2 linked regions of the Daphnia pulex genome follow. The protein of the gene in region 2 interacts with the protein of the main gene of each other region in a pairwise test. Links are inferred from orthologs where the notes say so. Each region holds a gene or a part of one and is shown on either strand. Other genes may lie near its edges.

The links.
Region 1: the proteins of proteasome subunit alpha type-7-like (region 2) and trafficking protein particle complex subunit 13-like interact in a two-hybrid assay, tested with the Caenorhabditis elegans proteins (3 studies listed by BioGRID). The link is inferred for Daphnia pulex from reciprocal best matches to the Caenorhabditis elegans genes pas-4 and C56C10.7.

Annotation. Positions count from the first base shown.
Region 1 is NC_060019.1:5,173,973-5,178,229, reverse strand, and holds the start of trafficking protein particle complex subunit 13-like, read right to left. Parts: upstream 3,014-4,257; 5' UTR 2,778-3,013; coding exon 2,741-2,777; intron 2,663-2,740; coding exon 2,485-2,662; intron 2,425-2,484; coding exon 2,340-2,424; intron 2,281-2,339; coding exon 2,150-2,280; intron 2,083-2,149; coding exon 2,010-2,082; intron 1,952-2,009; coding exon 1,907-1,951; intron 1,219-1,906; coding exon 1,210-1,218; intron 976-1,209; coding exon 876-975; intron 810-875; coding exon 685-809; intron 604-684; coding exon 475-603; intron 312-474; coding exon 211-311; intron 108-210; coding exon 1-107. Other genes in the region: arginyl-tRNA--protein transferase 1-like, read left to right, coding at 3,671-3,770, 3,838-3,906, 3,970-4,257.
Region 2 is NC_060020.1:7,377,758-7,381,328, forward strand, and holds proteasome subunit alpha type-7-like, read right to left. Parts: upstream 1,933-3,571; 5' UTR 1,637-1,932; coding exon 1,532-1,636; intron 1,457-1,531; coding exon 1,216-1,456; intron 1,076-1,215; coding exon 942-1,075; intron 883-941; coding exon 610-882; 3' UTR 539-609; downstream 1-538. Other genes in the region: uncharacterized protein LOC124192310, read left to right, coding at 2,254-2,329, 2,482-2,711, 2,775-3,051, 3,115-3,285, 3,345-3,530. UniProt on the Caenorhabditis elegans protein: The proteasome is a multicatalytic proteinase complex which is characterized by its ability to cleave peptides with Arg, Phe, Tyr, Leu, and Glu adjacent to the leaving group at neutral or slightly basic pH.

The sequences.
Region 1 (4,257 bases), on a different chromosome or scaffold from region 2:
AATGATTAGGATCAATTTTCTTCAGTGGCCGATTAGATACACCAGTCCAAAGTACTGTAGGTTTTGAACGGATTTCCAACACCAAACTTAGTTCGACCGGCCTTTCACTAAAAATTATGAATAAACGTATAGTTCATGATAAAGAATTGTAAAATGAACCAATTTATTTAGTTGATAAGTTTCCCTCATGTATCAAAGAGCTCCATTTACCTGGTGTTCGTTATTTTGCAGACAAAGTTAATTGGCCGATGGAGTTTTACTGGATTAGGTAGCTCTTGGATTGTCAGGCGTACATCACCGTAATTGGGGACCTGTATAAGAATAAAGGGGACCATTTTTACGGTTTAAGATTTAGACTGACGAATTTACTAAAAAGCTTTCCAATCAAGCAAAACTCTCATTCCAACTTAGCAAAACTACTCAAACTAAAAACAGCATTTTTTTTTTTTTTTTTTTTTTTTTTTTTTTTTTTACCATTCGTTGTAGCTGACTGGTTTGCAATCGTCCACGGTCTCCTATAGCAGTTCTCCAAATTAAGTCAAGTTTCCCAATATTGCTCTCTCCTCTCAACATTCTGTGGTTATCACGTACATTCTGCTTTGGCTGTGATCAATAAGAATGAATTTGCCATTAATAACCAATTTAACGGAGAAATTTAAGATTACTATTTCTTAACGTTCTTACCTTTAGACAGTGAAGGTATTGGCGGATTTCACCCGGTTGAACCACATTTACACATTTTCCGAAGAGCTGTGGCATATTGGACCAAGGAGTGCCAGTGGTCGTTGATATTTCATTAAGCGATGAAACTAATTCAGAGAACAATTAAAATTGCTTAAACGGTTAAATGAAGAAGCTCAATGGTGGCTGCAGACCTTCAAACAGAGTAGAAGGTTCCATTGTGACTTTATCTAAGCAAAGTGGTCGGTCGACAGTCGTGTTTTGAATTTGGGCTTCTAAGTACACATCGTCGGACTAAATTTAATTGAAGCTGAAATAAGTGGTTGAGCTATATTCATAAGGCCATACAAATTTATATTGATAAAAATGTCAAGTTAATGTCACAACTAGCTCTAATTTCGGATTCCACTCCCTTAAAAACGATTGAGATATTTTACTACAAGATGGTTAAAAGCAGTTGATAACCAAGACGAAGTATTAAGAAATTCTTTATAATTTCTCCTATGACACAAACAACACAAGTCTTACGTAATAGTCCTGTGAAAGGTGAATCCCGATAGCCGTCCAAAGTGAAGTAAAAAAATGGACATGCAGCAGTTAATTTATCATTTGGTAGAAAAAAGGACGCATGCAAGGAATGAAGAGTTGTTTGAGTTGAAAAAAGGAAAACAAATTAAAGATCAAGAAAATCGCTTATCCAGTCCATGAATTAAGTTTGAGCAGGGTAAATCACAACCGGTATTGTGGAAATTACTGATAAATATATATATAGTTATATTTCTATATAGGTTGTTTTTTCTTTACAGTGTAGGGATTCCAAATGGAAACCTTCAAAACTTATGGCGCCATCTCATGAATTACGGAAGCTTATTCAATTCGTATTGATGAATTCTACTGGAAAGATTTCGAGGAAAAAACCAACAAAAAAAAAAAAAGGAACCGCGCATTCGATTAAAAGTTTGAAACCACCTTGACCCACAAATATGTTTTATATGTTAATCGGGGTAATTATTAATTTTTCCAAAAATACGAATTGAATAAGCATATAGTGGCGGTCAAATATACTGTGAGATGGTCGTCACAGATTTTTGTCGCTTTCATATGGAATCCCCTATGCGCATAGTTTTGTTTTATGTGTTAAAACTCGTAATTTTTACAATTATTAAATATGAAAAGTTGATCAGTAGTATGTAGTCTAAGTACAAGTATAGGAAGTAGAACTTACCTCTGCATTGTAGAACTTAGTTTTTACATCTAGAGGTTTAAGAACCTGTTTTGGAAGATTTTATGTGAGTCTTAGTAGATATCACATATTTAAATATCTTTACTTGAAATTTGTAGTAGCGAGAAGATGTCATCTGTTCACCTGCACCAATTTGATAGGATACTTCACAAACTAAACTGCAAATTAATTCAAATCAAGAACAAAAAAAACTAAGATGAAAAAAGATAAATATTGATAACATACATGTGTGTTCCAATTTCTGTTATTTCATGACTTAGGATATCATCAGTTGATTGCTGAGGTTCAAGCTGGTTAATTGACACTTTATTACGTTTTGTTAATGGAAGCCTTTGTGCAGCTGTCTGGAGATCTGCCTGCAAATTACAAGTATCTTTACTAAAAACTGTTTATGAAATTACCAAACTTTGCAAACCTTGATGGATATATTTGAAACCAAGCAAGAGCCCACATTCTGAACACGAAGGTAACTTTGAAAAGTTTCACCTAAGTATATAGTACTGGAAAACAAACAAATTTAGTATAATTTAGTTCTAAACAATTAAGATTCATTTTTAAACCCAAAGCTTTGAGGTAGAAGTAATCCAAATTTAGGAGAAAAGGTCTTATCCAGAGTTTGATCAGCATCTTCTATTAAAACATTATTTTCTTCTTGGGATAGAATTGTGCTGACCAAATCCCAAGGTTCTGGATGGAAAAGCCCAGGTTGTGTAAAAACTGGACGTGACAACCTCATCACTTAAAATTAAATGATTGCAGAATCGTTTACAAAATGTTTGACGAGAAGTTAGATTTTAAATATTGAATACGAAATACCTTTGATCGACAGAATCTGATCGGCTTTAGTTTCCATGGCACGTAGATAATGGAAACTTATTAAATTTAAAACACAAGGAAATTGTCCACAGCCCACACAGGCGACACAGCGCAGCAATATTTAAAAGGAATAACTGCTGTTATTTTTTATTTTTAACGGAAGCCGAATGTTTTCTAAAGAGTAAAGACGATTTCACTTCCCTTCCTCTATTTATTAGGCCCCGTTGCCCGTTCTCAAGACTACAGTAACTCCACGAAGCCACATCACTCCGGCAGTCAGCAGTCTGGCCTAATTATCGTCGCGGCAGCAGAGCCATTGGCGGCAGTAGTAGGAAATTTGGAATTCGAAAACTTGATCTTATTGATTTTATTTTTCAATCAATTCATTTTTTTTCAAGAGATTGGAAATGAGAAAGAATGAAAAAAGTCTACTTAACATAGGCCAAAAAAGGAGGTTTAACCAGAGCTATAGAATATAGTATTGAATAGTGAATACTAGTATAGAATGCTATAGAATACTATTATTCTATAGCTCTGGTTAGCTGATTAGATTAGCCTTCCATCTCCCTACTCCCCAAAAATAGTAATTTGTTCTGGTTCATCAATAATCATAAACCATGAGAAAAATACGAATTTTTTTATGTTAATTGTTTCGACAACTAGATGGCTTTACTTGAAGAAAATGTGAGCAAATTTGGTTTCACTTTTCCAACACAGGAGCTGACAGGAGTGACGAGTGAATGGAGCTGACTGGAGGTATAGCAAGTAGCGCGGCCCTTTAAACTAGTACGCCATATTTGTCATTGACCTCCTAGGTTACATAGTATAACAACAACAACAAAAAATCGGAAAGAAAAAATCCAATTAAATTAAATTATTTTAATTTAGATTTCTGATACATGAAAATTGAGCTGTACTGGGGTAAACAAAATGAATGACAAGGAGAACTTTTCTATAGTTGAATATTTTGGAAATGACAAGGGACACAAGTGTGGTTATTGCAAAGGCTCCAATTCAAACCTCAGCCACGGTAAAGAATATTAAGTATAATTGTAAGCTTAAATTTAACTAACTTAAATTTCAATGACTTTGCAAAGGCATGTGGGCTCATACAATGAATATTCAAGATTATGAAAATCTAATTAACCGTGGTTGGAGAAGGAGTGGTACTAAGATTTTAAAAGTTTAAAACATTTAAATTTTCCAACTAAAATATATCTACCCTTCAGGACATTATTGTTATAAACCAATGATGAAAGATACATGCTGTCCACAGTATACAATTCGATGCAATGCAAAAGACTTTCAAATGAATCCCTCTCATAAAAAAGTTTTGAAAAAAGTAAGAAATTATCTTTCTAAAGAAACAAATTTCAACACCAAACCTGAAGAGTCTTCTATAACTGACCACAATGATTGTGCATCAGAATCATTAACAATGATAAGATCCCATGAGCAGCACCATGCCTCACCACCAAACAAAAGTGAAGTCTTAATTTTATCAAAGCTCAGTAAAG
Region 2 (3,571 bases):
AATACAATACTCCTTTTTGTTTGTCTACATAACCTGGGCGTCTACTGCGTATGCTCTTCATCAATATACGGTACAACACTACCCGTGAATCAAAATCAATACACATTATCTCACTTCTAAACTCTTCCTCCCATTCTACTCAACTAGGGTGACCTGTTACAATAAATAAAGTCTTTTCTCATTTAACATTTTCAATGAATTTTTATCCCAAACGATCCAAACTGTGTCTCTAATCGATGTGATTCTGTCGTAGATTTAAATAAACATTTAATTAAAACGAAACAAGCTAATCCCATGAATATTCATTGACACTCGTTGATCCATCATTTCGGATGCTGATTTTCGTTAACGCCATCTCCAAGACTCCAACGTTCGTTAAATGATTCTTCAATAAGTGTTTTAAAATCACCGGCATCTTTATCGGATTCTTTTTTCGCTTTCACTACTAGACCATCTCTGAATACACAAATAATGAATAGCTCAACAATTAGACGCGTAAATTTTACGAAACGAATTGGACGACGTTGTAGGATAACACTTTGTGTTTAGGCCATTGTTTATTTGTTGGTACGTGACGCAGCATCACAAATTTGCTGAGTTTTCAAATAGTTACTTCTTCTGCTTTTTCTTTTCTGCTTCTTCCTCCTTCTCTTTCTCAACAGCGGCGACATGCTTTTCTATCTCGTCAACTTCCAGCATCTTCATTGGTTGGCCACGTCTCATAATCGCCAATTCCAGATTCTTACTTCCTGATTGTACCACTTCCAGAAGAGCACGGATTGCTAGTTTGATAACTTTTTCTTCATCTTCCATCTCCTCGACGTTATAGTTCTTTTCTAGAAACTCACGAACTGTTTTCGCGTTACGGCCTGTGGCATTGGCCTGAAATTCCACGTTATTAATTGCTGAAATGCAAATCAATTGAAAAGTCTTTAGCTCACCTTCCATTCGTGGTATGTTCCAGAAGGGTCAGTTTGATATAAATGAGGAGTGCCATCAAAATCAAATCCAGCAAGCAAACAAGAGATCCCAAATGGGCGTCTTCCATTACTCTGTGTATATCTCTGTTTCAAGCCTATTAGAATAAATAATAAATCGCACATGAAAAACAAACAAAAAACATTTGCGTAAATGAAGGGTAATAAATAATCCTTAAAAAAACAAGACATTTGTCCACAAAACTTAGCAGTTTAATTATCAGTGAAAAAATAATACCTGCTATGTATCTTGTTATGTACTCCAAGGTTACTGGATCTTCCACTGTCAGTTTATGGGACTGACATTCTATTCTGGCTCTGTTGATCAAAATTCGGGCATCTGCTGTCAGCCCTGCAAATGCCATCACCACATGATCATCAAGGAGGCATATTTTTCGGACAGTCCTTTCTTCTTGTAGCTTGGCAACAGACTTTTTCTCGACTCCCAAGATTACTAAATTCTTGCCTCTTACACCAACCTAAACAAAGTTAAAATATACACGAAAGTAATCATTAGTCGGTGTCGACTGCCACTATCGTAGAAATTTACTTACAGCAGTGGATCCTTTCTTGACAGCTTCTTGAGCATATTCGACCTGAAAGAGATGCCCATCTGGTGAAAATACTGTAATGGCGCGATCGTAACGTGCTGAACCCATTATTAGTCTATTTGATAAGTACTGGTGAGCTTTCAATCAAGTTTCTCACTTCAGTTAAAGAGCAGAAAATTTTGCGTCAAAAAATTTGCCGAGTCAAGCAGCTCGCCGAACAACGTTAACAAATCTATTAAAAAATGTAAAAACAAAAAAATTATCTCATAAGTTCGAACTCATTAATAAATTTTTGTTTCCCCTTCAACCACAGTGGATTAGATTTTACTATAAAATAATTATAAGACTTTATTTTTAAATTCGGAAATCGTCGATCGCTTTTTCTTTTTTGATGTGTAATGTTCCAGATAATTATAGATCAAGCACCGCCAAATGAAGTAAATGGTTCTCATGCGGCAAAGTTCAAAAGCTTGGAGTGATTTTCGTACTAAATACAATTTTGGACATCAATTCACATGCAACCATTTGAATAAAAATAATCGTGATATTATATGGAACAGAGAACACTAGAATACTACTTTCATGTGATTTTCACTTATATATTTCAATAGGTCCAATTTTGTGCTTTGGTACTATAACAAAAGATGGCGCGCAATGCAAGTGACAGCCATCACAGGCAACCTACAGTTATCTATGTGTGCAGACAGTCGATAAGTTGTCAAAAAATGGAGTTCGCAACGAGATTGTTTTTATTGTGTATTTATAGTGTTACTGTTTTAGAAACTTATGGCTACCAAATATGTAAGTCCACTGTTTTTTTTTTCAAACGTTAACATTATCTCCTTAAATATAATGGTGCGTTTCATTATAACCAATTTCGACAACGCCCTTAGCCCTTAGGTTTGACTCACTGATGTCACAATAATAATGGCCCTTATTGTTTTCCGTTTTAGATTATTTAGAAGATGCAAATGTCTGTTCCTCGGCCAAAAGGACTATTAAAATGAATTCAAGGAGTACTGCACTCTTGATACAACTTTCAAAGTACCCTCATGTTACTGAGTTAGCGATTGACTGCCATCTAGAAATAGAAGCACCAAAAAATCAGGGTTTGCAAGTTGTTGTTGAAGACATTAATCTTAGGAGAAATCCTTTGGATAATGAGTGTGATGACTATGTCTGGGTAAGTCCTATAAACTTTAAATAAATTGTTTTGGATTTTTTTTCATGACACCCTTAATTGTAGTTTGGCAGAGATGATGATGGCTACCTCAGCAAAAAGTTGTGTGGAGAAAGAAAACTGGTTCCCATCTATGATTATACCAGTGAACGTCCATCAGAATCCAATGATGAAGAAGTTCTCCACAATTATGTGGAATCACTTATTCCTGAAGGACCAGAAGCAACAACATTTTATGACCCTGGTGGAGAGTTGCACATATGGTTTAGAAAAACCAGCAGGAAAGTGGATCAAAATCTTCAACCCCTACGACTTAAAGTAGTTGTAACTTCTTACAGACAGAGTAATATAAACACCTCATTTATATTCTATGATGCCAGTAATAAATATTGACTTTAAAAAACAGCTTGCAAAACAAATGACACTGCTTACTGGCCATGTATACCCAGTGTTGACAAGTCAACCAAGATGCAAGAAAAATGCATCCCATCCAATTTGAAATGTGATGGACACGTCAATTGTGGAGCAGGACTTTTTTCGGATGAAACGGGATGTGCTGTCGCAACATCGAGCAATAGTAAGAATCGCATATGTAAACTCAAATCCGTTAAATTTACCAACATATTCCTTTAAAAGTTTCAAACAACGCCATCAGCACAGCGTCGCTCGTCATTCTGGGAGCCGTAGCACTTCTCATTTTATGCCTGATGGCAAGCATGGTGTGTTTCTGCCGCCGGCGCAAAGCACGACTTCGCCGCGCGAGAAATCAAGAAGATTGCCAAGTCGTATCAACCTTACCCATACCTCATCATGCCGGCGAAGGTAAATTATTATTGAATTGAAATCTACCCAAAATTTGTTTT